Linked DNA regions of Elephas maximus indicus. The protein of the gene in region 4 purifies or fractionates together with the protein of the main gene of each other region. This does not show direct contact. Links are inferred from orthologs where the notes say so. Each region holds a gene or a part of one and is shown on either strand. Other genes may lie near its edges.

Region 1 (7,362 bases), on a different chromosome or scaffold from region 4:
CTGGTAGTCCTACAAAATACTCCAGTTATATATGTAAAAGAATCACTGTCACTAACTTAACATTGCTTCAAACATTCTCATTTCAGAGTATCTTAAACACAGGCCCAAATACGCTATTTCTAACATCAAGCGTTGCTCTTAACAAACAGGCTGCTATTGTCAATGCTGATTCACAGTGTCCCTATGTGTGCAGAGTAGAGCTGCTCCACAGGGTGACTGTGACTTTTCAGAAGCAGATCACCAGGCCTGTCTTCTGAGGCACCTCTGGGAGGGTTCGAACTGCCAACCTTTCAGCTAATAGTTGTGTGCGTAACAATTTGCACCACTCCGTGACTCGACAAATAGGTATAACCAGTTATATGGCAGGGAAATTATGAAAGCTCCTATGGGTTTAAAATGCCTTAAATATTTATTAAAGAATGCTTCCTCAAACCAATATTTAACCTAATAATTTATTTAGCACTCTAGAGGTTTTTATACCCTAGAGCAGTGCACCGCTGAAAAATTTAGGATAGGTGAGGGTAAGGCTCTCCTATGTCATATGGAAGGAAGACGAAGTATATTCAGATAGATATATTTTAGAAATAATACAAAAAGAAGTTAAAGATCTGGAATTTGAATTCCTTAAAACTCTCCATGGATCCAGCACCGCTAGGAGAGTCTGCAAGTAAATTATAAATGCTGACTGCTTTATAACCACTACAATTACATACGGTGTAATGCATAACAGACAAAGTAACTCAAAGAGTAACCCAATCTGTAGTAGGATGAAAATGAATTTTTTCCCCTTCTTTTCTGTATTTTCTTAACAAGTCTGCAAAAATGTTACAATTTTTTTTCCTTTTAAATTAGGAAGCAAAACATCCTGTCAGGACTGCCTTCCCTGGTAACCACCCTCCACCTGAATCACAAATGCCAGTGCTCCCTAGAGTTCCCTCTCAGGACCTCTTCTTTTCCTTCGGGTGATTTCCAGATGATCTTACTCCCAGGGCTCCAGGTACCAATTATAAACTTATGGTTCCCAAACCTAAACTCACAGGCAAGTCATCTTTTTTGAGCTTCAAGATAAATACAACCAAATGCCTACTTTATGACCACACACACTTCCCATTTTGGTATTGTTATGAATTATGTCCCCCCAAAATATGTGCTGTAAATCCTAACCTCTAGGCCTGTGGTTATAATTCTATTTGGGAATGGATTGTCTGTTATGTTAATAAGGCAGGATTAGGGCTGGGTGTGTCTTGAATCAATCTCTTAAAAAATATAAAATGAGCAGATTAAGCAAGCAGAGGTGCCAAGCCACATGGATATCTCCAAGGAACCAGGAAACAGAAGCTGAAGAGACAGACAATGGCCTTCTCCCAGAGCTGACATAGAGAGAAAGCCTTCCCCTAGAGCCAGCACTCGGAATTCAGACTTCTGGCCTCCTTAACTGTGAGAAAATAAATTTGTTTGTTAAAGCCATCCACTTGTGGTATTTCCATTATTGCAGCACTAGGTAATTAAGACAAGTATTTTCAAAACTAAATTTATTCTCTATCTAACTGCTCACTTGCCCTATCCCCAATCTGCTTCTGTATTTCCCACCTTGTTTACTGGAGATAATATTCATGCAACAGCCCAAGCTGGAAATCCGGACATCGGTACAGATTCCTCTCCTTCCTTCTCTTCTCCCAGCAACTGGCCATCAAGTTCAGGAGCTCATCTCCTCAAACTTCTCGTCTCTCTCCTGCCATCTGACTGGTCTCCTTGCCCTACAATCCCTCCAGTCCACCCTCCACATCACCTCCGTAACAACCTTTCAGAGCGCACACTCTGATAACATCACTACTCTGGATAAAATTACATACGGTGGTTCTAACAGGGAGCCCTGGTAGCACAATGGTTAAGAACTCAGCTGTTAACCAAAAGGTCAGGAGCTCGAATCCACCAGCTGCTCCTAGGAAACCGTATGCGGCAGTTCTACTCTGTCCTATAGGGTCACTATGAGTTGGAATCGGTCGCAAAGAGTTTGGTTTTACTTGGTACACATCTCTAGGACCCCTGGTGGTGCAGTGGTTAGGAGCTCGGCTGCAGTTTGCATGCACCAGGCGCTCCCTGGAAACCCTATAGGGCAATTCTACTCTGTCCTACAGGGTCACATGGACAGCAACAGGTTTGGATTTTTTTTTTGCTTTGTTTTATACATCTCTATCATAAACAGTTATTCACACTGTCTGGTAATTGTTCACTTGTCTCTCATGAGACTGCGAACTCCTTGAGGCAGAGGACATCTTTCACCTTCTATATCTTAAGTACTGGGCTGGGTACCTGATTTGCTAAAAACTAAACATTTCTAGCAGCCCCGTTGTTAACCCCCGGAGCCCTGGTGGCCAGTGGTAAGAGCTCGGCTGCTAACCAAAAGGTCGGCAGCTGGGCTCCACCAGACGCTCCTAGGAAACCCTGTGGGGCAGTTCCACTCAGTCCTACACAGTAGCGACTGGCTGACAACCAGTTAGACTGTTGTGGTTTGGGGTTAACCCCCAGGAAAGCAGGCCACAACCATTAACAGAAACAGGCCGACGGCGGCGGCGGCTGGAGCGGGAGAGACGTTCGGCGGGCAAAGTCCGTCAGAGCCGTCACGCTGCGCTCACGCCCCGGCGCCTGGCGAGCCTCAGCCGACCGTGGGGGGGTGGCGACACGACTAACGTGCTGTCCGTCACTCAAAGGTCCCACCCGGGGAGCTCGCCCTGCCTCTCGCCCGGGCCCAGCTCCCGGGCCGCGTCCCCACCCGAGCACCGGGGCCTCACTTCTCCACATCCGCCGACTTCATGATGTGGGTCTTGGCAGCTGTCACCTTCCAGGGCCCGAAGGCGAAGTCCTGGTGGCTGCTCTGGAAGCCGTGGATCATCATGGCTGAAGCGGGGCCCGCGACGGCCGCACGGAGCAGGCTGGAGCGGCCGCGGCGTCGGGCACCGGTTCCCCCGCCTCCCTCAGGCCCAGCCCCACGGCTTCCGAGCCGTTACCATGCCCGGCCCCGCCCCCAGCCTGCCGCCCCGGACGCGGGACACTCCTTTTCCGCCTCCTCTCCGCCCTTTCGCTTTTCCTTCCGGGTCCCGTTGTCAATGCTGCGTGACCCACGTCTTACGTCACGGCGTACCGGGGTGGGGAAAAAGGGAGCAAAGGCTGAGGGGTAGGGCTTCATCTGCAGGGGGTGTGGTCAGAGGTGCACCGTACTCTTCTGCTCTTCGGAAGGCGAGTCCAAGATGTGATTGTTGTTAAGTGCCTCTGAGTCCGTTCTGACGCATAGCGACCCTTTGCACGCCCATTGTCGTCACTCCACTTCGTGGAGAGTCTTACTCTTTTTCTCTGACCTCTGTTTTACCAAGCATGATGTCCTTCTCCAGGGGACTAATCACTCCTGACAAGTCCAAAGTACTTGAGACAAAGTCTCGCTATCCTTGCTTCTAAGGAACATTCTGGTTGAACTTTTTCCAAGACAGATTTGTTCCTTCTTATGGCAGTCCATGGTATAGTCAATATTCTTCTCCAGCACCACAATTCAAAGGCGTCAGTTCTTCTTCAGCCTTCTTTATTCATGTCTAGCTTTCACATGCATAGGAGACGATTGAAAACACTATGGTTTGGGTCAGGCAAACCTTAGTCTTCAGGATGACAACTTTTCTTTTTAATACTTTAAGGAGGTCTTTTGCAGCCAATTTGCCTAATTAAATGCGTCTTTTGATTTCTTGACTGCTGCTTACATGAGTGTGATTGTGAATCTGAGAAAAATGAAATCCTTGACAACTTCAATCTTGTCTCCGTTTATCATAATGTTGCTTACCGGTCCAGTTGTGAGGATTTTTGTTTTCCGAAAAAAAAAAAAAAAAAATTTTTTTTTTTTTTTAATGGAAACCCTGGTGGTGTAGGGGTTAAGTGCTATGGCTGCTGACCAAAGGGTCGGCAGTTCGAGCCAGGCGCTCCTTGGAAACTCTATGGGGCAGTTCCACCCTGTCCTGTAGGGTCGCTAAGAGTCGGAATTGACTCCACGGCACTGGGTTTGGTTTTTTTTTTGGTTTTATGTTGAGGTGTAATCCGTACTACAGGTTGTGGTCTTTGGTTTTTATTAGTAAGTGTCTCAAGGCCTGTTCCCTTTTAGCAAGTTAGGTTGTGTTATCTGCATAATGCAGGTGGTTAATGATCTTCCTCCAATCCTGATGCCCCGTTCTTCTTCATATAGTCCAGTTTCTCGGATTATTTGCTCAGCATACATATTGAATAGGTATGGTGAAAGCATACTACCCCAACGCACACCTTTCCTGACTTTAAACCACTCAGTATCCTCTTGTTCTGTTTGAACACCTGCCTCATGATCTGTGTACAGGTTCCTCATGAGCACAATTAAGTGTTCTGGAATTCCCATTCTTCGCAATGTTATCCATAATTTGTTATAATCCACACAGCCCAATGCCTTTGCATAGTCGAAAACACAGGTAAACATCCTTCTGGTATTCTCTGCTTTCAGCTAGGATTCATCTGATATCAGCAATGATATCCCTGGTTCCACGTCCTCTTTGAATCTGGCTTGAATTTCTAGCAGTTCCCTGTTGATGTAATGCTGAAGGTGCTTTTGAATGACCTTTAGCAAAATTTACTTGCGTGTGATATTAATGATACTGTTGGATAATTTTCGCTTTCTTTGGAATAGGCATAAATATGGCTCTCTTCTAGTGGGTTGACCAGGTAGTTGTCTCTGAAATTTCTTGGCATAGACAATGAGCACTTCCAGCACTGCATCTGTTTGCTGAAACATCTCAATTGATATTCCGTCAATTCTTGGGGCCTTGTTTTTTCACCAATGCCTTCAGTGTAGCTCGGACTTCTTCCTTCAGTACCATCGGTTCCTGACCATATGCTACCTCCTGAAATGGCTGAACATCAACCAATTCTTTTGGGTATAGAGCCTCTGCAAGTTCCTTTCATCTTCTTTTGATGTAATCCTTAAAAACAACAACAACAAAAAAAAACCAAACCCACTGCCGTCAAGTTGATTCCGACTCATAGCAATCCTATAGCTCCTTACAGACCTCTTAAAGCAATGTAATTACCTTTTGTATTAGAGAATTGGTGTAAAGAGTAAGTGCCCAGAATTTTCCTGTTGAGGCACAAAAAAGTAATTCTTTAGAGTGCAGGAGGTCCAGCATCACGTGATTTAAAAATGGCCATCTAGTCACTATTAACTAAGATAGACTCCTGTCAAAAAATTTCATCTTTCAGGTATTCAAGGCTGCCCATGGTCTAGCTAGTCCCTAAACACCTGATATAGTGGAAACAATACTGGAGACCCGGGTGCTAATTCCACTTTTGCAACTCTACAGCTGTGCATCCCTGGTAAACCACTTAACTATCTTTAGGCCTCAGTTTGTTTCCTCAAAATGCGATGGTTTGATGCTAGGTCATCTCCCAAATCTAACTTTTCAGCCTTTTTTCCAGCAGTTCTAAACCCTACCCACCTATACTTGGCCCTATGGCTGAGCTCTTACTCTTTCTTTTCCAGCTGCCTGAGAGTCATTTTCAAACCTGTCATGTTTTACACACAACCTAGCAACCTGTTAAAGATATAGATCTTCAGGCCTAGAATAACCTGCTTTGCATTTGTACTCCACCTCCAAAAGGCTCTCCCTGGCCCCTGTAGCTGGATTAGATCACTTCTTCCCCTGAGCCAACATGTCAGTTTAAGCCGACTTCACTCATTCCAGTTACCACTGTCCATTCACTCATCCAAATGAATGCCAAAACAGAGCACCTGCTTTTTGCCAATCACAAGTTTTATCATAAAATTGTATTCTCATCTTTTCTTATAACAGATTGACAATGGAGTTCCAAGACATTGTTTTAGTGATAAAAGCAAGGCTCCCTGTCCCTTAAAATGTATATTTTCTATCTGTCCAATTTCATCTAAAATTTCAACTGGTTTTAGATATACAGTACCAGATCGCTGATTAACTCAATCAGTCATTTACATCTTAGTGTAAAACATTTGGAGCCCTGGTGGCACAGGGATTAAGAGCTTGGCTGCTAACAAAAAGGTTGGCAGTTCAAATCCACCAGCTGCTCCTTGGAAACCCTACAAGGCAGTTCTACTCTGTCCTTTAGGGTTGTTGTGAGTCCCAATTAAGTTTGAGCTCTTTTTTTGGGGGGGGGGGATCATTACATCATTTTCTGCAATCTGGCCTAAATAGAAAATTGCCAGGCCACCGAATCCAGTGCTTTCCTACCTACCCTCCCAAAATATTTGTCCCTGATTTTCCTGGATAAGACATGATGAAGACTTCCTTTTATACGGGTATTTTTATTTAAGTATAAAATCTATCAATTAAGCCCTGACGTCTCTACTGGAGAATTCTACCAAACTCACAGAGAATAGTTAACACCACTACTACTAAAGGTATTTCAGAGTATAAAAAAGGATGGAATACGCCCTAACTCATTCTATGAAGCCAGCATAACCCCGACACCAAAACCAGGTAAAGACACCACATGCAAAAAAGAAAATTACAGACCAATATCCCTCATGAACATAGACGTGAAAATTATTACCAAAATTCTAACTAATAGAATTCAACAACATATCAAAAATAATAATTCACCATGACCAAGTGGGACTCATACCAGGTGTGCAGGGATGGTTCAACATTAGAAAAACAATCAGTGTAATCCACCACATAAATAAAACAAAAGACAAGAACCACATGATCTTACCAATTGACGCAGAAAAGGCATTTGACCAAAGCCAACACCCATTCATGGATAAAAGCTCCTAGAAAATAGGAATAGAAGGGAAATTCCTCAGCATAATAAAGGGTATTTATACAAAGCTAACAGCCAACATCATCCTAAATGGAGAGAGTCTGAAAGCATTCCTCTTGAGAACAGGAACCAGGCAAGGATGCCGTTTATCACTACTCTTATTCAACATTGTGCTGGAAGTCCCAGCCAGAGCAATAAGGCAAGAAAAAGAATTAAAATGGATCCAAATTGGTAAGAAAGAAGTAAAAGTATCTCCATTTGCAGATGACATGATCTTATATACAGAAAACCCCAGAGCATCCACAAAAAAAAACTACTGGAACTAGTAAAAGAGTTCAACAGAGTATCAGGACATCAGATAAACATATAAAAATCAGTTGGATTCCTCTATGCCAACAAAGAGAACATCGAAGAGGAAATCACCAAATCAATACCATTTACAGTAGCCCCCAAGAAGATAAAATACTTAGGAATAAATCTTAACCAGAGACGTAAAAGACCTATACAAAGAAAACTACAGTACACTACTGCAGGAAACCAAAAGAGTCCTACATAAGTGGAAAAACATAC
Region 2 (7,682 bases), on a different chromosome or scaffold from region 4:
TAAGCTATACAACTCAAATTAGTATTTCCAGGATAACAACTATGAATCCAAAAAACAATGGGTCTCAGAGTCAAGTGACCCTAGTCCTTAGTGGCCCTACCACTAAGTTCCTAGGCTGCCTAAGAGCAGGAACACCTGAGCCTCAATTTTTTCGTTTATCAAGAGAAAATATCCCCTGCCCTAGCTTGCCTCACAGAATACAGAATTCTCTGAGTCTCAGTTTCCTCAACTATAAAATGAAGTAGTGAAATGAGATCACTTCTAAGCTCTTGTCTAGCTTTATGAGTCTAGATAAGACAGTCCATTCTGTCACTACCATCAGACTTAGGTGAGGCCTTGCCAAGGTACCAAAAAGGAAGCAGAAAACAAAAATATAGGAAAATAAGCCACTTGAGGATCACACAAAATTCACCAATATAGTAAAATCATGCTCTTCTCTTCCCAATACTATGATAAAAACGCATCTTCCTAAATAACTTTATTTTTTCAAGATAAGCAGCCAACCTAAATCACGAAGCCCAAAGCATCTATTTAAAAAGGACAAGTTACTGAAAAAGTTAAGTTACTAACAACTATACAATCTTCTAATCAGCAGATTTCTCCTTTGTTTTCTCGTGGTTATTCCCCCCCACCCCTTCCTCTTCAGAGAACTGGTTTTGACAAGGTGAGGAGCTGAGCTCTAATTAAACTTACTGAAAGTACAGAGCCCTAGTGGCATGGTGCTTAAGAGCTTGGCTATTAACCAAAAGGTTGGCAGTTCAAATCCACCAGCAGCTCCTTATTAAAGCCTATGGGGCAGTTCTACCCTGTCCTATAGAGTCACTGTGAGTCAGAACCGACTCAACAGTACCTAACAACATCAAAGTATATATAGTTTAGTTATTTTTAAAAATATATTTTTTATATTTATAGAGAGAGTGTGCTGGTATACTGAAAGAGGAAATTTTAGTTTGAAAAAGGCAACAACTAAATGTTACATTAATTTTATACCCCAGATTAATTCTCCCAAATAATCTGCTATGGATCAGTTTCCAGATTCCCTTTATTCATGTTAGTCCTACCTTCCATTCTTCCAAAGCCAAAGCAATCCTCATTTTATCTTTCATGTAGCCTTCTACCACGTCTTTCTATTGTGCATACACCAATCTCTCTCCTTCTGTCAAAGTTTCCTCATTTCTTCTACTGTACATCTTCGTTTCCTTCCCTGGTTTCTCCAACCATTCTCACCATCTCTCTGCCCCACTGTTTTAATTTATAGGATTCTCCTTTCCCTTCATTCCTAGGACCTAATTTCACAGTACTGCATCTCTTGCTTATTTCATTTTTGATCAGTTTTTGTAAATTATTACTTCTTCAGAACCTACAGTTTCTCCTCAGGAGTCCTCGTTTCCAGAATATCAACCAACCCACCTCTGGAGTCCCAAACACACATTCTTCACTACTTCATACCTACATATCCTTCCTACCCCTTTTCTACAGTCACTAGTCCCCAGAATTCTGACACTACAAACACCCCTCAATCCCAACTGATTATTCAATTCCCTTTACTTTCCAGCAATTGCCTCTCCCATCTTCAACTTTTATGACTTCTTTCTGTTGCCTAAGTATCCCCAAACCTGGCACAAGCCATTCAGTGACCTAAAATTCCAAAGCCTATCCCTTCCACACGGCTCCATCTCTCCCAATCAAACTGTTTTCCCCCAACACTTTCTTATTTTAAGCAGCTACTCCCAATGCTTCATGACTTCTCTGAGAATTGTAAGGCCAGTACGTTGCTTCCCTCAAATCTACTTGTCCGGCAAAAATCAACTGTCCAAATCTTTTTCTTAAAGCTTCCCAGACCTCGCCTCTGCATCATTTCCATTCACTAAACCCTATTCTTAATCATTTCTCAATCCCTAGGGCCCACCATCACTCTCTAAACTCCTCAGACCTCTCCTTCGTCACTCCTTCCCAGCTTCTCAAAAAACGTTCCTATTACCCTTAACAATCTTCCTGGCTATATTCTCCATCTTTCTTTAGGCCTATTTACCAAGCTTTCTCAGTTCACCCTTAAGAGACCTAATCTATTAGTCACCCCTCACTCCCTGGATCTGTCTCTTATGCCTCTGGGAACTCTGTCTAGAACCTTCTGCTCCTAAGCTCTCCTTTTTTCTTCCCCAACCCTACCTCAGGTGTTCCCTATGCCCCTCAGCTTTTCTAAAATCTAGTTCTCACAGTCTTCTTACTACTCCCAAGCCGTTCCCCCAATTCCCCTCAACTTTTCTCTCAGTCATTCCGTATTTCCTCCAGCACTGCCTGGCACATTTACCTCCCACCTTTGTCACGGCTCTATTCCTTTCCTCAAACCTCTTTCATTCCTTCCTCTGGAGGTGCCTCCCACATCCCTTAATTATCCTCTCAGTTTCCCTAATCTTTGCCTCATTCCCTTTCCCTTGAACATCGCTATTCCTCTAATTTTTCCTTCAAGCCAGTCTCTGATGGTGTCCTCCAATTTCCATTGACCTGGCGACTCCTCTAGTCTCCCAGATCTGCCTTCTACTCCAACCAAACCTCTCCCAGGCCGCTGCCAGCGTTCTTCTATCCTTAGCCTCTCCTCCCGTGCTGCTCTAAACGCCCAGAAACGCCATTCTCCAATGGCCGGGGCCTGGCCTCTAGGGAGAAGGGGTATGGGTCACGTACCCCATTCGCATCTTGGCTCCGCTCTGACTGCCCCCGCTGCCGGGTAGGGGAGGGCGAGAGGGCAGGCGGCCAAGGTGCATGCTCTTCTCGAGGGCCGACATGAAAGCGAGGCCGCACGTACTCAAACAGCAGCCGAAGCTTCGTCCCACGTTAAGTGTGGGCCAACCGGTCACAGATGGCTCCCTAGCGACGCCCTGTCGCCTTTAGACAGCCCTCAGCCACCGGCAGCACCGCCTACCGCCCACCGGCTCCTCAGACTCCACCCCCTCTCTCAGCACCTCCACCGGAAGTGCGCCACAGCACTCCCACAAAGGAAGCTGGGTAACGGAGTCTGCGGACCGCTGAAACCCCAAGTGGAGAACTCGACAGCTCTCGCCGGAAAGACGAGCCCTCTGAAAGGCAATGCACCCTGGGCAATGGAGTCGTCTAAGGGCCTAGCCCTTCGCGCTTGCGCAGCGGGAGGTGACCGCTTCCGACCCCGCAGAGGTAGCATAGCAAAGCATCCTGGGTGTTGTAGTCTACTGGCGGGAAGGAGTCTTGGCGCCTTCCATTCTGACGGCTTCCCAGAAACTGTTAAGGAGAGAGTTGCTTTTTCCTTCCTCCCAGGCTGCCCAGCGGCGCCGGTTGCCGGGGAACGCTGGCGCCAGGAGAAGGGATGGCGGGAGGGTAAGACGTCGGTGCTGGGTCCGGAGCTAAGTTGGTGAAAAAGAGCTCGGGTTCGGCATGAAACAACGAAAAGGCCAGGGACCTGGGGGTGGCCGTGGCCGCAAAAAGAGAGGTAACCCGAGCAACCAAAGGCTGAAAAAAGCGTAACCGGGCGGGGTTTGGGCAAGGAGCAGGGTTTAAAAGAAAGATGGGACGAAGAAGGAAAATAACCAAGGAGTCAGAAGGTTAAAAGAGAGGACAGTTGGCCCTCCAAAGAATGAAAAGGAAATGGGGTGCGACGCAAAAAACGGGAACGAGTGGGCTGGTGAGGGCTAAAAAGGTACAAGTAGGACATCTCTAGGAGAGGGGAAGGAAAAATTCCAGGAGTGTTTTTAATAACAAAGTTAAACGTGTGGGGGGGGGGTAAAGACTTTGAAGGTCTTCAGGGGGCCACAGGAAACATAAGTTGGAGAGGGGACTAAGTCAGTGGGCAAGAACGTTTTATACATTATTGGATCCCCAAGGACTAGCGCAAAGCATTACTCAATAAATGTTAGTTGAATGAAAGAAGCAAGTGAGGCCTACCAGCGAGAGTTGGGAGAGTTGTGCAACAGAGAGGGAGAAAAGAGTGGGTAGTGACGAGCTGAAAAAATAAGGTCCCAATGTGTCGGATTGGACTTAACAGCAAAGGGGTAGTGACAAGGTGTGGTAGGATTGGAGTGGGAGTGAAGGCATGAGGATCTTCTGAAGGATGTGAGGTGGCTAGGAAGGGGAACATTAGAGGGCAGGCTGCAGAGATGCAAGAGGACCTCATTAGGTTAGGACACTGATGGAGAAACAAGGTGTCCAAAAGGGTAGGAGTGTGTTAGCTGTAGTGAGAACAGTCATGCTAGGAACCCAGGGCAGATCAGAAAACTGGAAGTTGGATCTCTCTAGGGCTGCCTTCAAGAAAAAAAGAAAATTAGGTGGCCATGACTTTTTTATATTATGGGCACTTTAAGAGACCCTGGGTGGTGCAAGTGGTTACATGTTCAACTATTAGCTGAAAGGTTGGTGGTTCCAGCTCACCCAGAGGCACCTCAGCAGACAGGCCTTGCCATCTGCTTCCAAAAGGTCACAGCCTTAAAAAACCCTATGAATCAGTTCTACTCTGCACACATGGGGTCACAATGAGCCAGATGGCAACTAACAACAGCAACAGTGAAGAAAGGGTATTAGGAATACTGATAGTACATTAAGGCCATTGGGTTGAAGGCTGAAGCTACTGTATGGGAAAGAATCTTATCCAAGCTGTAAGGCAGTTGTGAGGCAGTGCTTTTCCTGCCAGATATGGTAGGAGAATCTGATACAGAGACATGGAGGTTTTCAATGCCAGTGCTCCCTTTGGCAAATCAGTCAAGCACATTTGATTGATAAAAGACAAACCAAAGTAGAAATGACAACCGTAGTATAGAAAATAACGTCCTTCTTGCTATAACAGATGCATATGCAGTGAGGCACATGTACAAACCTGTGTATAATTTTTATATTGAAACTAATTATCCGTAAAGATTTCATTGTTGTTGTTAGGTGTGGTCAACTTGATTCCCATTCATAGTGACCCTATAGGACAGAGTAGAACAACTCCATAGAGTTTCCAAGGAGCGGTTGGTAGATGTGAACTGCTGACCTTTTGGTTAGCAACCGAGCTCTTAACCACTATGCCACCAGGCTCCATAAAGATTATGGTGGGAGTTTTTCCATTATGAAGGGCAGTAAAGGGTATTTGCTTCAGAAACCTAAAGAATTATTTTTGTAGATTCCTGATCTGTTAGATTCTGGTTCAAGTGTATTTTCTTATGAGGCATGACCACTCTTCAAGAGAAAAGTCAGAGGAAAACTCAAAGTCACATGGTGAAATGATGCTGTGAATGGAAGACAAGGCCGTTAAAGCAAAGCTTCATAGAAAGTCATGATAATTGCCCCATGTTGATGTATTATCTTTCTGAAAGCCAATAAATATTGTGAATCCAACAATGTTCTAAAAAGTAGCGGCAGAATGTAAAGATGATAGTCTCTGTCTTCATTGACTTTATGATTTTGGTAGGAGAGACAAGACACAGTTTAAGATGGTCTTTATTGAAATATTGGATTGTGTGGCACACACTAAATTGTTTGGGAGTTCAGTGAAGGGAGTTGTTGCTGTTTTATGTTTAGTTGATAGTTTTTTAAAATAAGTGAATTGGGTAAAGATAACATATCTTAAAAATCATGGATGTTGCCTTAAAACATCAGTATTTGGCAGCAAAAATTCAGCTATTTCTGAGATTTTAAAAAACTGTATCATTGTATTTGTATTTTTTAAATTAATTAATTTCAATTAAAGAGAAGTTTATATTAGTATGTCTTAAGTTGGTATGTTCTTTACTTAGAATAACCTGACTCAGAGCCTAAATACTAATGGGCTATCAGGATGGCTGGAGTCTCTGGTTGGCTCAAATGGTTATAAACACTAAACTACTAACTAAAGATTAGCGGTTAAAACCAACCCGGAGGCACCTCGGAAGTGTAAGGCCTGGCTTCCGAGAGGTCCCAGCCTTGAAGACCCTGTGGAGCAGTTCTGCAGTGCAAACGTGGTCACCATGAGTTGGAATCAATGTGATGGCAACTAACAACAACAATCAAAACCAAAACCAAACCCACAGCCATCGAGTCAATTCCAACTCATAGCAACCCTATAGGACAGGGTAGAACTGCCCCATAGAGTTTCCAAGGAGCACCTGGCAGATTCAAACTGCCGACCTCTTGGTTAGCAGCTATAGTACTTAACCACTACACCACCAGGGTTTCCCAACAACAATCAGGGTGGTGTAAACGACCAGATAGGTTATTCCACAGCCTGGTTAGCTAGTTACTTATCATGTATTGAAGTAGGTAGAAAAAACCTTCTCTCTGTAGAGACTAAAGTGTTTTTTGTTTGTTTTTCATTCATGATTTTTATATTTAGTCTAAATTTTGACTCAGGGTTCTTGGATTATTCCACAGCTTTGAGTGATATTTCTCCATCTACAAGCCTTCCACCTCTGGTTGAAGGCCAATTGCGCTGCTTTCTGAAACTTACTATTAATAAAGTCATATGGAAGATTGCAAAGCCTCCCACTTGTGTACTTGTCCGAGTGAGATGGTGGGGAGAAACATCAGACGGAACCTTCTTTTGTCCTAGAGATGCTTTGCAGACTGAGCCAAAAGCTGTGAGAACAACCACACGTTATGCTGTTCGCTGTGGTCCAAAGCAGTTTACCTCTTATCTAACAGGTATGTTTTTGTCTTATTTAACCTGCAGGTCTAGTAAGCATGTGGTTATGTTGTTAGCAATAAGTGTTATTGTGTTCCTAGTATGTGGTGGGCATTGCTACTTGTTGAAGAGTCAAAGAGGCTTTATAATAACCATTTTATTGAGTATACACCATGTGCTAACGGTTTATATGTATTATTTCTAATCTTTAGAATAACTCTGCAAGATAAGTAGTTCCTCTGTTTTGTAGACAGTGAAACTGAGATTCAGAAAGATGAAATGAATACTCTCTAAGTCACATGGTTGATAGATGGCAGAACTAGGACTTGAGACACCAAAAATCATGCTCTTTTCACTATACCATGCTTCTTCAGTTAATAAGTGTAATGTCTCTGCTTTTGGCTTACATTATGCCTGAGGAAAGAGACTGCAGATGTAAAATTTACTGATAATACAAGATGATACATTCTAAGTGCCAGCTGAGTAGTTTAGTGAGTTAGCAATACATGTTTTCAGAGAAGAGAAGGATCCCTCTGTAAGGATCCAGGAAGCCAAGATTTTTTCATTTCTGTGTGAAGAAAGTATTCCAAGGGTATTGTGCTAATTCTTTATCCAGGTCAGGTGTTCACATAAACACATTTTGAGTAGTGGGCTTATTTATCAAATCATACTGGTTCGAGTCAGTAAAAATTAAGCACGTGTCATGTAAACATTGGTGGGCCAGGAATAATGGAGAGTCAAAGGTGAATTAAAAACTAACCTGTCCTTAAGTAGCTTACATCCTGTCAAGAAAAAATTTTTTAAAAATCAAATTAAAATATAAAGAACAGCACAACAGTAAATGCTGTAATTTAGTCATTCAACAAATGCATATTGAATACTTACTATGTGCTAGTCAATGTGGTTGGCACTGTGGGGGTTTCAAAAATGAGTCAGAAAAAATGAGAAGTATCTAATTCTAACCAAGTTCACAGAGAAGTTTAGTTAATAATGGGTAGAAAGTGGTGCTATTAAAACAGTATAGATAACATGCTATGAGAATTTTGCTTACTGTAAGAGTGAAACAAGCTATTGTGAATGT
Region 3 (6,916 bases), on a different chromosome or scaffold from region 4:
ACTTTCTGGTCTCCATTTTCATTCCCTTTGGATTAATCCTTCCTAAGGTCTTTACCGGAAACCCTGGTGGCGCAGTGGTTAAGTGACACTGCTCCTAACCAAGAGGCTGGCAGTTCAAATCCGCCAGGCGCTCCTTGGAAATTCAATGGGGCAGTTGTACTCTGTCCTATCGGGTTGCTATGAGTCAGAATCAACTTGATGGCAGTGGGTTCGGTTTTTTTTTTTTTTTAAGGCCTTTACCTGTCTTTTCGGCTACTTCGGCCGGACTGGTCACTGTCCTCCTCCTCAGCATCCCTCTGGTCATCCTTGCCCTCTTCCCAGTCCTTGTAGGAAGAGATTCTGGACTTCTTCTTGTCTTCTCCGTCATCCTTCTCCTCTCGCTCCCTCCGTTTCAGGGAGGCCAACAAGTCCAGTCCCAGCAATGAAGGGCGAGGGGCAGGGGCCTTAAAGACATGCTGCTCACTAGCCGCACTTTTGGTCTTGCAAATAAGACCACCAACCTGAGAGTCCAGATCAGTGCCTTCCAGTCGATGGATCGAAGCATCCTCGCTGCTGTCCTCCATCACAGGCTATGGGATTTCCCTGGCAGGAGAATAAACCATTTAAGACAAGACATAAAACAGGAGAAGGTTAGGCTCTGAAATATACCAGAATACCTATAGTTACAGGTATATTTAGGGGTTAATTCTCCCCATCCCTGCAACAAGACCAGGATATCTTTAGCTTATCTTGCAAAAAACTTTCAGTCAAGTCACTGACAATCCTGAAAGACCCCCTTGCAGAATCCAAACACACACCAGAAACACACAAACATCCCCCCAGAATCCAAAAGGGTATCATCCAGACAAGAATAGACTTCACTAAGGAACAGTTATGAGGGACTAGCAGCATTTGTACAGGCAATGTAGTGGAAACACCCCTAGGTTTGAAGTCATAAAACCTGAGTTAGAATCCAGGCTCTTGACACTGTCTATTCGCGTGATTACAAGCAAATAACTTAATCTTTGGCTGGCCATCGCTTCCATGTCTATAAAGTGAAAACGATGCTTGCTTTACCTAAAATATGGATTATTATGAGGATCAGACAAGAAAGTACATGTGAAAGTTCTATGTAACTATAACCCACTGCTGTCAATTCTGACTCACAGTGACCCTATAAGACAGATTAGAACTGCCTCATAGGGTTTCCAAGGCTGCAAATCTTTATAGCAGCAGACTATGACATCTTTCTCCCCTCCTGCTGAGTAGCTGGTGGGTTCAAAGGGCCCTTGCTTTTTCGATCAGCAACCTATCACTTAACCACTGTGCCACCAGGGCTCCTTTATAACCATAAACAGTTATATAACTAAAGTTTTTACATTATTTACCACACTCCTATATACTGAGTGGGTCCCTTGCCACTTTTTTTTTTCATGAATGTACTCTCTATTCTTCTACTCTATCCCTCTCTTTAAACTACAGATACAACAGAGTACATAGAGATGTTGGGGTATTAGGCTGCCATCCATATTATCCATACTCTGGTGGCTTTTTTTCAGACCAGTGTGTTTTGTAGAAAAGAATTACCTCACAGCAGTCAAAATCTGTTTAATAACTATTGATGTTCACCAAAAACATTGATGAGAAACTCTAGGGAACGGTGTTCCTGAAAAATATTTTGTTTAAGTGACTGTAAGACTTCCTGACCTTCAACAAGTAACAAATTCTTCTTACTTCTCATTACACGGCATTGCAAACATACACCTATTCTGAGTGCTTGCATAATTCCCCTCATTCCAACAAGTCAGTGAAGCAGAGGAAAGGGTAGGGTGCCACCAGAATCCAAAATATTTTGCCAAGCTCTAATGAACACACCCAGCTCTACATTGAGAGTACAGTCAAACAGACTGGACACACATTATCAATCAGATGCAAGAGCTGCATTTTGAAAATATTAGGCAGAATATAAAAGAGATGGACGCATATTGGTGACACCTGTATACATGTGCGACACTCCAAACAGGGAGGTAGAAACATACAGGCTTTGAGTAGCTGTAGTTTAAACTAGAAAATTTACCTCTAGAATACCATTCTATACAACTAAAGGAACCTCGTCTATCTTGTTGACTGCTTTAGCCCAGCACCTAGTTAAAACAAACGTTTGAGGAATAAATGAATGAGTTTAAACATATCAAAGGAGAACCAGACGCCACAAGTTTATGGAGACATCAAGCAAAGGAGCACACGAAAAGGTTTCTGACAGAGAGGCCTTAACTAGCTTTGAAGAACAAAAAATAAGGCGTGAAGAGGCTAGATTCTGGAGAACTAATGACAAAGACGCCACAAAAGGTATGAGAAAAACAGTGAAGAAAAAGCTAGATTAACTCATTCAACAATTGTTCACTGAGTGCCTTCTCTGAGCCAATCACACTGTTCTAGGCAATAGGGACAGAGCAGAAAGCAAAACAGGCAAAAATTCTCGCACTCTTGAAGCTGACATCTAGAGGTGATCGCCCACGAAGTTGTCTGGTAACGACAGCCGCGTGAAAAAACAGAGGAAGACACACGGGGCCCTACTCCGGCTGATCATCGGTCAGGGAGTGAGCTAAGGCAGGGGCCTGAGGAGGGGTGAGGGATCTGACCGGAGCAAAGAAAGGGGACAGGGCAGGAAGGACCGGAACGCATCCCTGAGGTGAAAAAAGCGAGTTGGGTGACAACCGAAAAAGTTAACTTTTCAAACCCGGACCTGAGCAAGGGATCGATATCCGCCGCGGGAGCGGCCCGGAGTGGCAAGGGCAGGAAAAAGAAGGGACACTCACGGCAGCGAGCACAACTCTCCGGGCCCTTCGGTCCCGGACTGTGGGGCGTCGGCGCCGCCACTCTACGCTCAGGCGGCCTCAGGGAGCCAAAATCCGCACCTTGAAAGCCGCCATTCTTACCCCCATGATACCTTGCGGGGCCTTCTCTATCCGCGCAAAGATACCACCGAGAGCAGTCCGCCAAACGCCGGTTCCTGGTTCCAGGAGTGGGACAAAGCGCGACCTGGCTGGCAAGGCTAGACTATCCTCTTTTGAGTCTCCTCGCGAGCCAATCACGCTTAGTCTCAAAGGTACTATCCAACGTCTAGTATGGGGGAGGGGGGGAAGAGCTGAAGAAGAAAGGTGAATCATATTTAATATGGGCGGAAGTGACTCTAGGGTTTCCGGTTAGAGCCGGTAAAGTGGGCGGTCACTAGAATAATCTCGCCTGCATATTGGGCGGTTAAACGGAGGTTGACCAGCGACCGCTCAGTATCTACTACACCAGTGCGTTTTCTTTCTCGTTTCTTTACCCGGAAGTGGTCAGCGGAGGGTTGCTAGGCAACAGCCCCTCGGTTACTTGGCGTTAGGGTCGCTGCCTGAGTTGGAGCTGAAGAAAAGCGCCACGTGTGTCCCGCTTCTTCCGAGAAGGGGTCCCGTTTGCTGACAGCCCTGAAGTGGAAGAAGGTGACTTGTACAAGTAAAGTAAGTGTGTCTTCCCTGGCAGTTGTAGACAGGAGTAGCCCAGCCACCAAACCGGTTGCCCTCTCGAGTTGATTCCGATTCACAGCGACCCTAAAGGACAGAGTAGATCTGCCTCATACGATTTCCAAGGCGACCGCCACATCTTTCTTCTGCCGAGCCACTGGTGGGTTCTAACCGCTGACCATTGGGTTAGCAGCCAGCGCTTTTAACCACGGCGCCGTCAGGGCTCCCAGTCTAACCACAGGCATCTTTAAAAAGTTTATCAAGTATTTCTCTCATAATACATGTTTATTGTAGGATACTTGGACAGAGGCACACCCTGAAATAAATAAAAATCACCCGTTTATCCACACCCAGAAATAACCACTGATGGTGTTTACGATGTTTACTCGTCCAGCAATTTTTCTATGCAAATATGTACACATACATTATATTTACGGTTCATGTAAAATTGGGTTTATACTTTACATACCGTTTTGTAACTTTTTTTGAGCTATGTATCATGAGAATATTTCAGTATATTAATTGTTCATCTCTAAATTAGTGGCTGTATAGTGGCCCATTGCAGGACTGTGTTCATTTATGTCATCAGTCCCCTATTGATAGCCATTTAGGTTGTTTCCAATTTTTCACCATTATAAATGTAATGAATACATGTTACACAATAAATCTTTCTGCACGTGTATGATTATTTCCTATGTATTAATTTTTTTTAATGGAATAGTTGGTCAAAGAATAGCTTTCTTTCCAGAATAGTTTTGCCTCTCTGCATTCCAGCAGGGATGATTAATACCAGCCCCAACATTCACATTTGGTGTGATTGTTGTATATTATTATCTTGTTTAATCTGTGCAAATTTAGTGGATTTTTAAAGTTATCTTTTAATTTGTTTTTCTTTAGTTATTAGTAAAGTTTATGTTTTAGGCTGGGTTCTCTAGAGAAGCAAAACCAGTAGAGCGTATGAATGCACAGATTTATATCAAGGAAACGGCTCACACTGATTGTAGAGGCTGGAATGTCCCAAGTCTGTGAATCAGAATAGTAGTTTCTCCTGATTCACATAGCTGCTGGGGCTGGTGAACCCAAGATGGGCAGATCAAAGAGCAGGGCTCTCGCTTACAGGCTGTGAAGATCGCTGAGTCCCAATATTGGTAGGCAAGCTGCTAGCTCAAGTCCCAAGAGCCAGAGGTCAGACGAACAGGAGGCAGCCGCAGGATCCAGAGCAAGCAAAAAGCCAGAATGGCTGCATATATTCTCATGCAGGCCACACCCCCAAGGAAACTTCCTTTCAACTGCTCGGTTACTCACAGCAGATCCCATCTTGGGAGTGATCACATGTAAACGCTGAGAATCATGGCCCAGCCAAGTTGACACACAATCTTAACGCATCACAGTTTAACTATGATTGATTGGCCATTTGTACCTCTTGTTTTGTGAATTCCCTGTTAGTATCCTTTGCTATGGACATTTTCTTAAGTGTCATCTCAATTTCCCTCTCCTTCCAGCATTCCATCCAGTCCCCCCCTGGCTTCCTTGTTGACAACTTTGCCCTCCCCTCACCTTCTTCTCTTTATCAGCAACATAGAGGAGTTTCTGAATGTTTGCAATCTAGTGGTGGGACAGATTAATCTTCTCTTTGACTTTTCATCGGTAATTTGTTCTGATACCAACAGTTTGTGAATTCCCTGTTGACAATCAGCTTCCCTGTTTAAAGTATGACCTATTGCAGGAATTTTTATTCATACCTTAAGATATGACATATCACAAAAATACAATGAAAGAAATTCTCACTTTTTCTTAACATTAGCCAGCTTTGGAACTGAATTCAAAATATCAAGTATATTTCAATGAAATCTCTCAAGATTGGCCTAAAAAAACAAAAAACTCCTTGTTAAGAAGTTCCTTAGAAATGAAATTTCTTCAATAATAAAAGTAGAAGCTTATATAGTAGAAAGAGCACTGGAGTAGAAATTTGGTAGTTTGAATTCTAGTCCTTGTAGAGCTAGAAGTGTAACTATAAGCAAGCTAGTCTGTAAAATGAGGGGGATGGGTAAGGCCCTTTCTATCTCAGTATTTTCTGTGTTTTTTTGATTGTTGTTTCCTACACGCCTTCAGCTGATCTGTTTGCCATGTCCCTAATACAAATGTCTATCAATAACGGACTGTTTAAATAGTATGATATGAAGTAGTACGCAGCTATGAAAAAGAAAGTGGAAGTTTTCTATATAAGTATGAAATCTTTGTATGTTAGGTAAAAAATGCAAAGCGCGAAGAGTGGATAAAGTGTGTGCTGGACTTCCATCTGCTCTCCCGACATGCCTTTCCTCCTCTAGACTGTTCTGTGACCCGGAGGCTGGCCTGCCTCAGCAGGTCCCCTGCCCTATGATTTCATTTGGAGGCAGCCATGGGAGCACTAGTAGGAGGGAGGAGAGTGGTTGCATCCCTTAACTGCAGGCTGATTGCTTAGCCAACAGCACTCTCCACTCAGCTGTCTCCACCATCCAGTTCTGGTAACTACTCCCTCCCATGTCTCCACGGTTACTAGCCCCAAAGTTTTGCACTATACCTTGTTTTCCTACATCCTGCCTTCACTAAACTGTCTTCAAATTACCAAAGTTGAGGGTGCCATCTGTTTCCTGCTGGAACATTGATAGAGTGGGCTATCTTTTGGGTGAAAAGGGAAGAAATATAGGAATGCATATTTGTACTCTGGAAGATATGTAAAAAACTGATAAAAATAATACCTGATGGGGGCTTCAGGGGGAGGTTGGGAAATGGGAACTGAGCTGGAGGAGGGAAAAGCAAGGAGGGAAGACTTTTCACACTTTAAATTTCTGTATTGTTTGTTTTTATACCACGTAAATATAATTACCTATTCCAAAAAGTTTTTTTTTTTTTTTACATAGTTAGGACTCATGCACTCAAACTGTCTTTAAACATTGCAGCTTTATTTCAGGATTGCCAGCGAGAATTAATAATTTGGATTATTTCAAGATGAGCTTCCTATTGCCCAAGCTGATCAGCAAAAAAGAAGTAGACCAGGCAATAAAAAGTACTGCAGAGAAAGTGTTGGTTCTCAGGTTTGGGAGAGACGAGGATCCTGTCTGTCTGCAGCTAGATGATATTGTAAGTGAATTTTTTTAATAAATGGTTTTTATTAAAAATGATTACATTTTCTGCAAAATGTATGAAGGGGAGCAGGCAGAGCCTGGGGCTATAGCTGTTCACTATTCAGCACACTTTCACTAAAGACTGATGATGTTCCTTCCACTGAGCTGAATCCCCAAAGCTGTGGTTGTGCTGAATCTGTCCTGGGTGTCCTTCCCCACTACTTGCTGTTGAAGCTCAGTTTCACCAACAACGCAGTATAAGAGGAGAAAACATTATTAACAAGTGTCTACAAACATTATCTAATTCAGTCCTCAAAATAGTGA
Region 4 (7,140 bases):
TCTTGCTACAATAACGTATCGATGAAAATAAAAATGGTTAAAACTACAGAATTCGTACCTTAAGCAACCCATCAATCCTAAAACATCAAAGAGATCTGAACTCTCACTTTTTATATTTGCATTCTCCCATGACAATCTTAGAAATTAGACAAAGCTCCATTTAGCCATAAATGGATAAGAGAAATGGCAACTTTCACTATCAAAAGGCATGCCCACAGTTAAAAGTAATACAAACTTCATTAAATGTCAAAAGATGAATTTGAGAACACCAATCATTTTAACACAAAATGCTCTCAGTAAATATAGACCTAACTTGACAAAAAAAAGAAAAAAATTGTTTAAGTCCTCTATCAAGACAAATAATTGTTCAGAAAAATCAGATTAAATTTCTCAGCCGCCGGTGATCCAGTAAGGCAAGATATTAAAAAGCTGTATTTATTAATGGTGGTGATTGCACAATATTGCAAATACAGTTAATGCCACCAAATTATATACTTAGAAATGGTTAAAATGACAAATTTGTTATGTGTATTTTACTACAATAAAATTTTTTTAAAATTTTAAACCTGTCTTTTAGAAACTTTTGACTGTACATTTAGAGCCACTGTTTTTTTATCAAGAAGGAAAGGCAGTTTGTACAGAGCTGATTAGCTGATGAAGAGACAAGGTTTTAAATATTTTTTTCTTAACTTTTTCTAAGTTTAAGCGTTTTTCTCATTTCTAAATTTGGTTATCAGAGGACTATACTACAACCATAGCAAAACTTGTGAAAATGAACACTTGCTAATAAAACCACAGAAATTACGTATCACTTGAAGCTCACACTCTTCTGTTAGGCCTCAAAAAGTATTTTGAAAATAGGCATGAAGTAGGGGAGCCAGGAGAGCCCATTTATTACCACTGCACCCAAAGAAATCTTTCTCCTTCCTGTTCCCCCACCATTACCCAAAGGAAAGACAACAAGGAAGTCATCGAAGCTGCGTTGCTCTCTACAAATTAACTTTGCCCTCTACAAACTAACTCAGCCAGAGTGTGAAAACAACTCCTGCCACACAAACTACACACAATGGACTTGAATATTCCTTTTGAAAACAGCCCTAATTTACAAGTTTCAAATTCAGAACATTTGGAAACAAGCCTAATAAAATGGTAAGCATATGTAACAAGTTAGCTATCCTAGAAAGTTTACAGGACAGTCAAAACTTATCATCTGGAATTTGTCAGATAATCACCCCGAGTACTCAAGAGAATAGAAGTCACACACTTCAAACACCTACATCTATGACAACAAAAGCTTGGATACGGACAATAAGACAAAATACGACCAACAAAAGAACATGAAACAATCAAAGCCACAAAACCCTGGGGATAAAGCTGTTCATTATGGCCCAAAAGGGTCATAATGGAAAAGACAGTCTTCCTTTCTCAGGCCCTTTCAGACTAAGAAGTTCTAAACAGGCCTAAATGTAGATGTTAAAAAAAAAAAAAAAGGTAAACAATTTTTTAAAATGCATTACGGAGCATGCATAAAATAAATAAAAGTATATATTTATTACATGCTTTAAATGATAGTTTTTAAACTGTAGGAATGACACAGATTAATAATTCTTCCAGAATATACTTTTTTCTTTGTCCTATGCAATCCTGAATGACATACGTTTATAAAAATGAATACAGGTTTCAACTCACATTGTTTCTCCAGTCTTGGCTACATGACAAAGAAACTGATCCAGGACAGGACAAACTTCCTTTTTCCCCCTCTTCTCAAAATCTAGATAAGAGAAGAAAGAAATGTTATTAGTATTTCCCAAAGTCCATCAACCATTCCCAACACCTTAATACAAACTTTCCTCCCAGTCCTTCCCCATACTAAGAAACAATAATAAAATAAAAATTAAAAACTCATCTTCTCAACCAAACAGCCACCTCTACCCTCCCAAGCTCCACTTCCAACATGTCACCCACTTCACTGGTATTCACTGCTAACAGGACGCCTCCAAAAGGGGGCACTCGACTTCTCCAAAAACTAGCCTGAATACAGTGTTTCCCAAAGTGGGGTCACGGGGAACACCAGCATCCGCCTCACCAGGGAATCCGGTTAAAATACAAACCTCCAGGCCCGACCCCATTAACTGTTTATCTAGGTGAAGTTCACAAGTCTACGTTGTAACGAACACCACCTACTCGACGGAGCCACCCCCAAACGATTCTGAATTGTCAAAACATAATTCTCAAATCCCTGAAACCATGATATTCCAAGTTTGGGAACCACTATTCTCAAGCCTGTTGCTTGGAAGGCGACCACCTTTTAGAATTAGGGCGCGTGCAAAGATGCCTCCAGAAGCCCTGAAAGGCTTCGTAAGACAACCTAAAAGTTGCTTTGCCAGCGCCGCCCCCCCACCTACCCTTTTACTTTTTCTCTCACCCCGATGCCCGGCATGCGGGAGCCTGACGGCGAACCGAGCCTGCCTGCGAGGGGCTACGACCTGTCCCCGCCGGGGTGGGAGAGGGGCTGGAGCCCCTCCGAGAGCTCCCCGACTCCCCTCCCCCAGCCCAGACGCCGGCGGCAGACACAAAGCCCAGAGCGGGGCGGGAGGGAGCTGCCCACAGGGCTCCCCGCCCCTGGGAGGTGGGAGGGGGAGGGGAGCCGGAGACGCGCCCTCCCGGGCCCGGGCCGCGGAGCCACCGGCCCGGAAAGGAGAAGAGAGAGGGCCGCAGAAGGAGGGGAGAAGGGAGAGGGGCAGCCACCCCCACCTTTCAGCGCCTCCTGCAGCCTCTCGACGTCCATGGCTTCCCGGAGTCCCTCGCAGCCTCCGCCTCCCGCCGCGGGTCTCCCCGAGACCGGAACGCCTCCCCCCACCCCCCCGACGCCCTCCCCCTCCCTCGCACACACTCCGGCACGCAGGCGACCGGGGGGGGCACCGAAGGGAGCCGGGGGAAGCGAGCGAGAGAGCGAGACCGACAGAGCGAACACCTCCCCGAGCCGCTACCACCAGCCCTCCAACATGGCGCCCGGCACGTCACCGCGCGCACGCTCCCCGCCGCCGTCCTCGCGCCCGCTGCGCGCCCCGAGCCGGGAGCCCGAGAGCGCGTGCGCGGCGGAGGCGTGCCGCCGGGCGGTCCCGTCGACCCGGCCTGGTGGCGGGCGCCGCATCCTCCGCCTGCGTGGTGCTCCTCGGCGGGCCCCCGCGGTACTGCAGACAGCACGGTAAAGGAGCGGGTTGGGAGCTGACTCGCAGGATTCGAGTACCCTAGCTAGCTGTGTAACCTTGAGCAATTTACTTCTCCTCTCTGAGCCTAATTTTCCCAATCTGTGCAATGAGGGGAAACCCTGGTGGTGTAGTGGCTAAATACTGCGGCTGCTAACCAAGAGGTCAGCAGTTCGAATCCGCCAGGCGCTCCTTGGAAACTCTATGGTGCAGTTCCACTCTGTCCTATAGGGTCGTTTGGTACAGTGAGGGCACTGGTTCCGACCACCCTATCTATGCAGTTTCTGTGAAAATTAAGGAAGAATGTGTACACACAGCGTTCAGAGTATGAATAAAAAGCACTCTGTATTACAGCTATTAATAGTGACAAGAATACCTCTGCCCCTGAACTCGACGTTCACTCGTCACTGACCCACCCGTGAAAAGAAGCAACGCATACAGCAAAGTGATTCAGAGCTCAAGCTTTGGAATCAGCTGAATTCAAATCCCACTCCACTACTTACTCCCTCTGTGGCCCTGGACAAGTTACAACTCACAGAGCCTCAGTTTCCTTGTCATAAAATGGGAATTGTAAAACAGGATTGAGGATTGCGTGAAACGGTGTGTATGAAGCACTACAGGACCTGGCACTTGGTGAGCACTTAGTTAACAAGGCTCCTGCTGTTTTTAGTATCATTGTGATTAAGATTACATTGCCTAGGCACCCAGGAAACTAAACAGGGGACTGCAGAATCCTTCTCCAGCGCTGACATTTAACAAACGGGAAAGCTGAGGCATACAGAGCAAGTCCGGCAAAACAGCAACTGAAACTGGGACATCTGGCTCCCAGCCTTTGTGTGGACATTTTTGTGCTCTTGTTATGTCCGTGAACTTTTAAAGGAAAAGGCACTGGACTGTTGCACCTTCTCTTCCCAAAGCCTAGCAGAATGTCATGAAAGAAAGGAAGAAAGAGAAGGCAGTTTCTGGGCTTGTCTTGTTGTTGTTAGATGCCGTGTCAAGTCAGATCCAACTCATAGCAACGCTGTGCACAGTAGAACGAAACACTGCTCTGTTCTGTGCCATCATCATAATCGTTGCTATGTTTGAGCCTATTGTTGCAACCACTGTGTCAATCCATCTCTTTGAGGGTCTTCCTCTTTTTCCCTGACCCTCAGCTTCACCAAGTGTGATGTCCTTCTCCAGGGACTGCTCCCTCCTGATAACATGTCCAAAGTACATGAGACAAAGTCTCTCTGTCATCACTTCTAAGGAGCATTCTGGCTGTACTTCTTCCAAGACAGATTGTTCATTCTTCTGGAGTCCACGGTATATTCAATATTCTTTGTCAACACCATAATTCAAAGGTATCAATTCTTTGGTCTTCCCTATTATTCATTATCCAACTTTCGCATGCATATGAGGCAGTTGACAACACTGTGGCTTGGGTCAGGGACACCTTAGTCCTTCCTCAACGTGACATCTTTGCTTTTTAACACTTTAAACAGGTCTTTTGCAGAAGATTTGCCCAGTGCTACACATCGTTTGATTTTTTGACTGCAGCTTCCATGGGCATTGATTGTGGACCCAAGTAAAATGAAATCTTTGACAACTTCAATCTTTTCTCCATTTATCATGATGCTGTTTATTGGTCCAGTTGTGAGGATTTTTGTTTTCTTTATGTTAAGGTGTAATCCATACTGAAGTCTGTAGTCTTTGATCTTTGGTTTGTCTTCCCAAACAAAACCAAACCCACTGCCATCAAGTCGATTTTGACTCATAGCAACCGCATAGGGTTTCCAACGCTATAAATCTCTATGAAAGTAAACTGCCTGTGGAGCTGCTGGTGGTTTCAAACCACTGACCTTTCAGTTAGTAGTCAATGGCTTCAACCATTATGTCACCAGAGTTCCTTTGGTTTGTCTTAGAAAGCACAAATTTGTATGCAGCCGTTACAACTGTTGACACTCTTAAAAGGTAGTGGCTGTGATTCTTACCCTAGGTTACAGATGCAGGCAAAAGTCTTCCACACCCAAAATACCTCTCTGGAGTGTTGTAGTTGGAAAACCAGTTCCCTTCCATTGTCTACAGCATTCAGCTCAATTACAAATAGCCTTGTAGGGGTGGCAATAGGGTGTCATCATCAAACACTTGGTCAGCACTTATGATGCACTAAATTTAGTTTTTCATGGCCCCTTCTAGTCTGAAAGGGCCTACTGTGCCTACATAAAAAGCCTGTCCTGCACTTCTGACACCCAGTCTTTTTTTTAGGCAGGTCACTTGCTATACAAAGGTCCCTGGGTGGCACAAGCAGTTTCCACTCAGTTACTATCTTAAAGGCTGGCAGGTTGAATTCAACAAATGATACCGCTGAAGAAAGGCCTGGTGATCTACTTCCATAAGGATTACAGCCAAGAAAACCTTATGGCTCTACTCTGCAACACGTGGGGTCACCATGAGTCGAAAATGAATCGACCCAACAGCAACAGGTTTGGTTTTGGTGTCTCAGTGTAAAAGCTGGCTGTGTAATACAGTTCCACTAACCTCATGTGACTGTTTAAATTCCAGTAAATTAAACAGGAGTAAAATTGAAAATTCAGTTCCTTAGTTACACTAGCCACATTTCAAGTGCTCAATAGCCTCGTGTGGCTAGTGGTTTTTGTATTGTGCCTTGCAGATACAGAAAACTCCATCCTTGCCCAAAGTTCTCTTAGACAGTGCTGTGTTGGAGGAACTCATTGTGCTAATTTCTTCCTCCTTGCTTTGTCCCTTTCATCAGTCATTCCCCTCACTTGGGCATGCCTTTCATTTCCAAACTGGATAAGGTCTGTGACAGGAAATAAAGTGGACACAGCAGTGACAGCCTAAGGGAATCAGGGAAAGCTTCCTGGAGGAAGTGGTGTTTAAGCTGAGACCATTGAATTATGAGAGGAAGGGAGCGAAGTGAAGTAGATAGGAGGAGAAGAGGAGCTATCAAACAAAAAACCAAGATGCCTTGAAATGAAAGAGAAGAGCCAGGTGCATTCTAAAGATACATAAGAAATTCAGTCTGACTTGAGCTGAGAATGCAAGGGGAAAAGAGGCAAAAGAGGAGACTGAACAATTATTTCCTTTGGTTCATTAGTTCTTTCTTCCTTGGATTTTTTTCCCTAGCTAGCATGTATCCCAATGTCAGTGATTCCTTAAGCCTCCTATTAGTACTAATTCCCGTGGAGGATAACAGCATACAAATGTGGTAGCCAACCTCCACAATGGCCCATCTTAGTTACCTATTGCTGCTGTAATGCAAATACTGCAAGTGGAGGCTTTAAAGAACAGAAATTAATTTTCTCACAGTTCTGTAGGCTAACAGTCCCATTCAGGGTCTCAGCCCTGTCGATTCCTTCCTTGTTGGTAGCCCCGGGCATTCCTTGGTTCTTGGTGATCCTCACATGCCATCTCTCTTCCTTAGTGTCATGGATTGAATTGTGTCCCCCCAAAATATGCATCAACTTGGTTAGCTCATGATTTTGTGTATTGTGTGGTTGTCCTCCATTTTGTGATTGTAATTTTATGTGAAAGAGGATTTGGGTGGGATCGTAACACCCTTACTAAGGTCCTGTCCTTGATCCAAGGTAAAGGGAATTTCCCTGGGGTGTGGCCTGCACCCCCTTTTATCTTACAAGAGGTAAAAGGAAAGGAAAGCAAGCAGAGAGTTGGGGACCTCATACCACCAAGAAAGCAGTGCTGGGAGCAGAGCGCATCCTTTGGACCTGGGGTCCCTGCGTGGAGAACCTCCTAGTCTGGAGGAAGATGAGTAGGCAGACAGAGGGAAAGCTTTCCCCTGGAGCTGACACACTGAATTTCGACTTCTAGCCTACTCAACTGTGAGAAAATAAGTTTCTCTTTATTAAAGCCATCCACTTGTGGTATTTCTGTTATAGCAGCCCTAGATGACTAAGACACTTAGTATGTG

What was found.
Region 1: the proteins of PPP4R2 (region 4) and TIPRL purify together in Homo sapiens (affinity purification with mass spectrometry; 5 studies listed by BioGRID and IntAct, counting the BioPlex papers as one, with this or other methods). This does not show direct contact. The link is inferred for Elephas maximus indicus from reciprocal best matches to the Homo sapiens genes PPP4R2 and TIPRL.
Region 2: the proteins of PPP4R2 (region 4) and PPME1 purify together in Homo sapiens (affinity purification with mass spectrometry; 3 studies listed by BioGRID and IntAct, counting the BioPlex papers as one, with this or other methods). This does not show direct contact. The link is inferred for Elephas maximus indicus from reciprocal best matches to the Homo sapiens genes PPP4R2 and PPME1.
Region 3: the proteins of PPP4R2 (region 4) and DHX38 purify together in Homo sapiens (affinity purification with mass spectrometry; 3 studies listed by BioGRID and IntAct, counting the BioPlex papers as one, with this or other methods). This does not show direct contact. The link is inferred for Elephas maximus indicus from reciprocal best matches to the Homo sapiens genes PPP4R2 and DHX38.

Annotation. Positions count from the first base shown.
Region 1 is NC_064821.1:216,493,356-216,500,717, forward strand, and holds the start of TIPRL (TIP41-like protein), read right to left. Parts: upstream 3,020-7,362; 5' UTR 2,897-3,019; coding exon 2,793-2,896; intron 1-2,792. UniProt on the Homo sapiens protein: May be a allosteric regulator of serine/threonine-protein phosphatase 2A (PP2A). Isoform 1 inhibits catalytic activity of the PP2A(D) core complex in vitro. The PP2A(C):TIPRL complex does not show phosphatase activity.
Region 2 is NC_064825.1:48,323,633-48,331,314, forward strand, and holds the start of PPME1 (protein phosphatase methylesterase 1), read right to left. Parts: upstream 3,021-7,682; 5' UTR 2,784-3,020; coding exon 2,683-2,783; intron 1-2,682. Other genes in the region: C2CD3 (C2 domain-containing protein 3), read left to right, coding at 3,406-3,460, 6,352-6,621. UniProt on the Homo sapiens protein: Demethylates proteins that have been reversibly carboxymethylated. Demethylates PPP2CB (in vitro) and PPP2CA. Binding to PPP2CA displaces the manganese ion and inactivates the enzyme.
Region 3 is NC_064839.1:38,403,248-38,410,163, forward strand, and holds the start of DHX38 (pre-mRNA-splicing factor ATP-dependent RNA helicase PRP16), read right to left. Parts: upstream 3,019-6,916; 5' UTR 2,930-3,018; exon of another isoform or gene 2,919-2,929; intron 2,891-2,918; exon of another isoform or gene 2,799-2,890; intron 583-2,798; 5' UTR 564-582; coding exon 241-563; intron 1-240. Other genes in the region: TXNL4B (thioredoxin-like protein 4B), read left to right, coding at 6,477-6,608. UniProt on the Homo sapiens protein: Probable ATP-binding RNA helicase. Involved in pre-mRNA splicing as component of the spliceosome.
Region 4 is NC_064838.1:20,593,317-20,600,456, reverse strand, and holds the start of PPP4R2 (serine/threonine-protein phosphatase 4 regulatory subunit 2), read right to left. Parts: upstream 3,017-7,140; 5' UTR 2,789-3,016; coding exon 2,755-2,788; intron 1,772-2,754; coding exon 1,690-1,771; intron 1-1,689. UniProt on the Homo sapiens protein: Regulatory subunit of serine/threonine-protein phosphatase 4 (PP4). May regulate the activity of PPP4C at centrosomal microtubule organizing centers.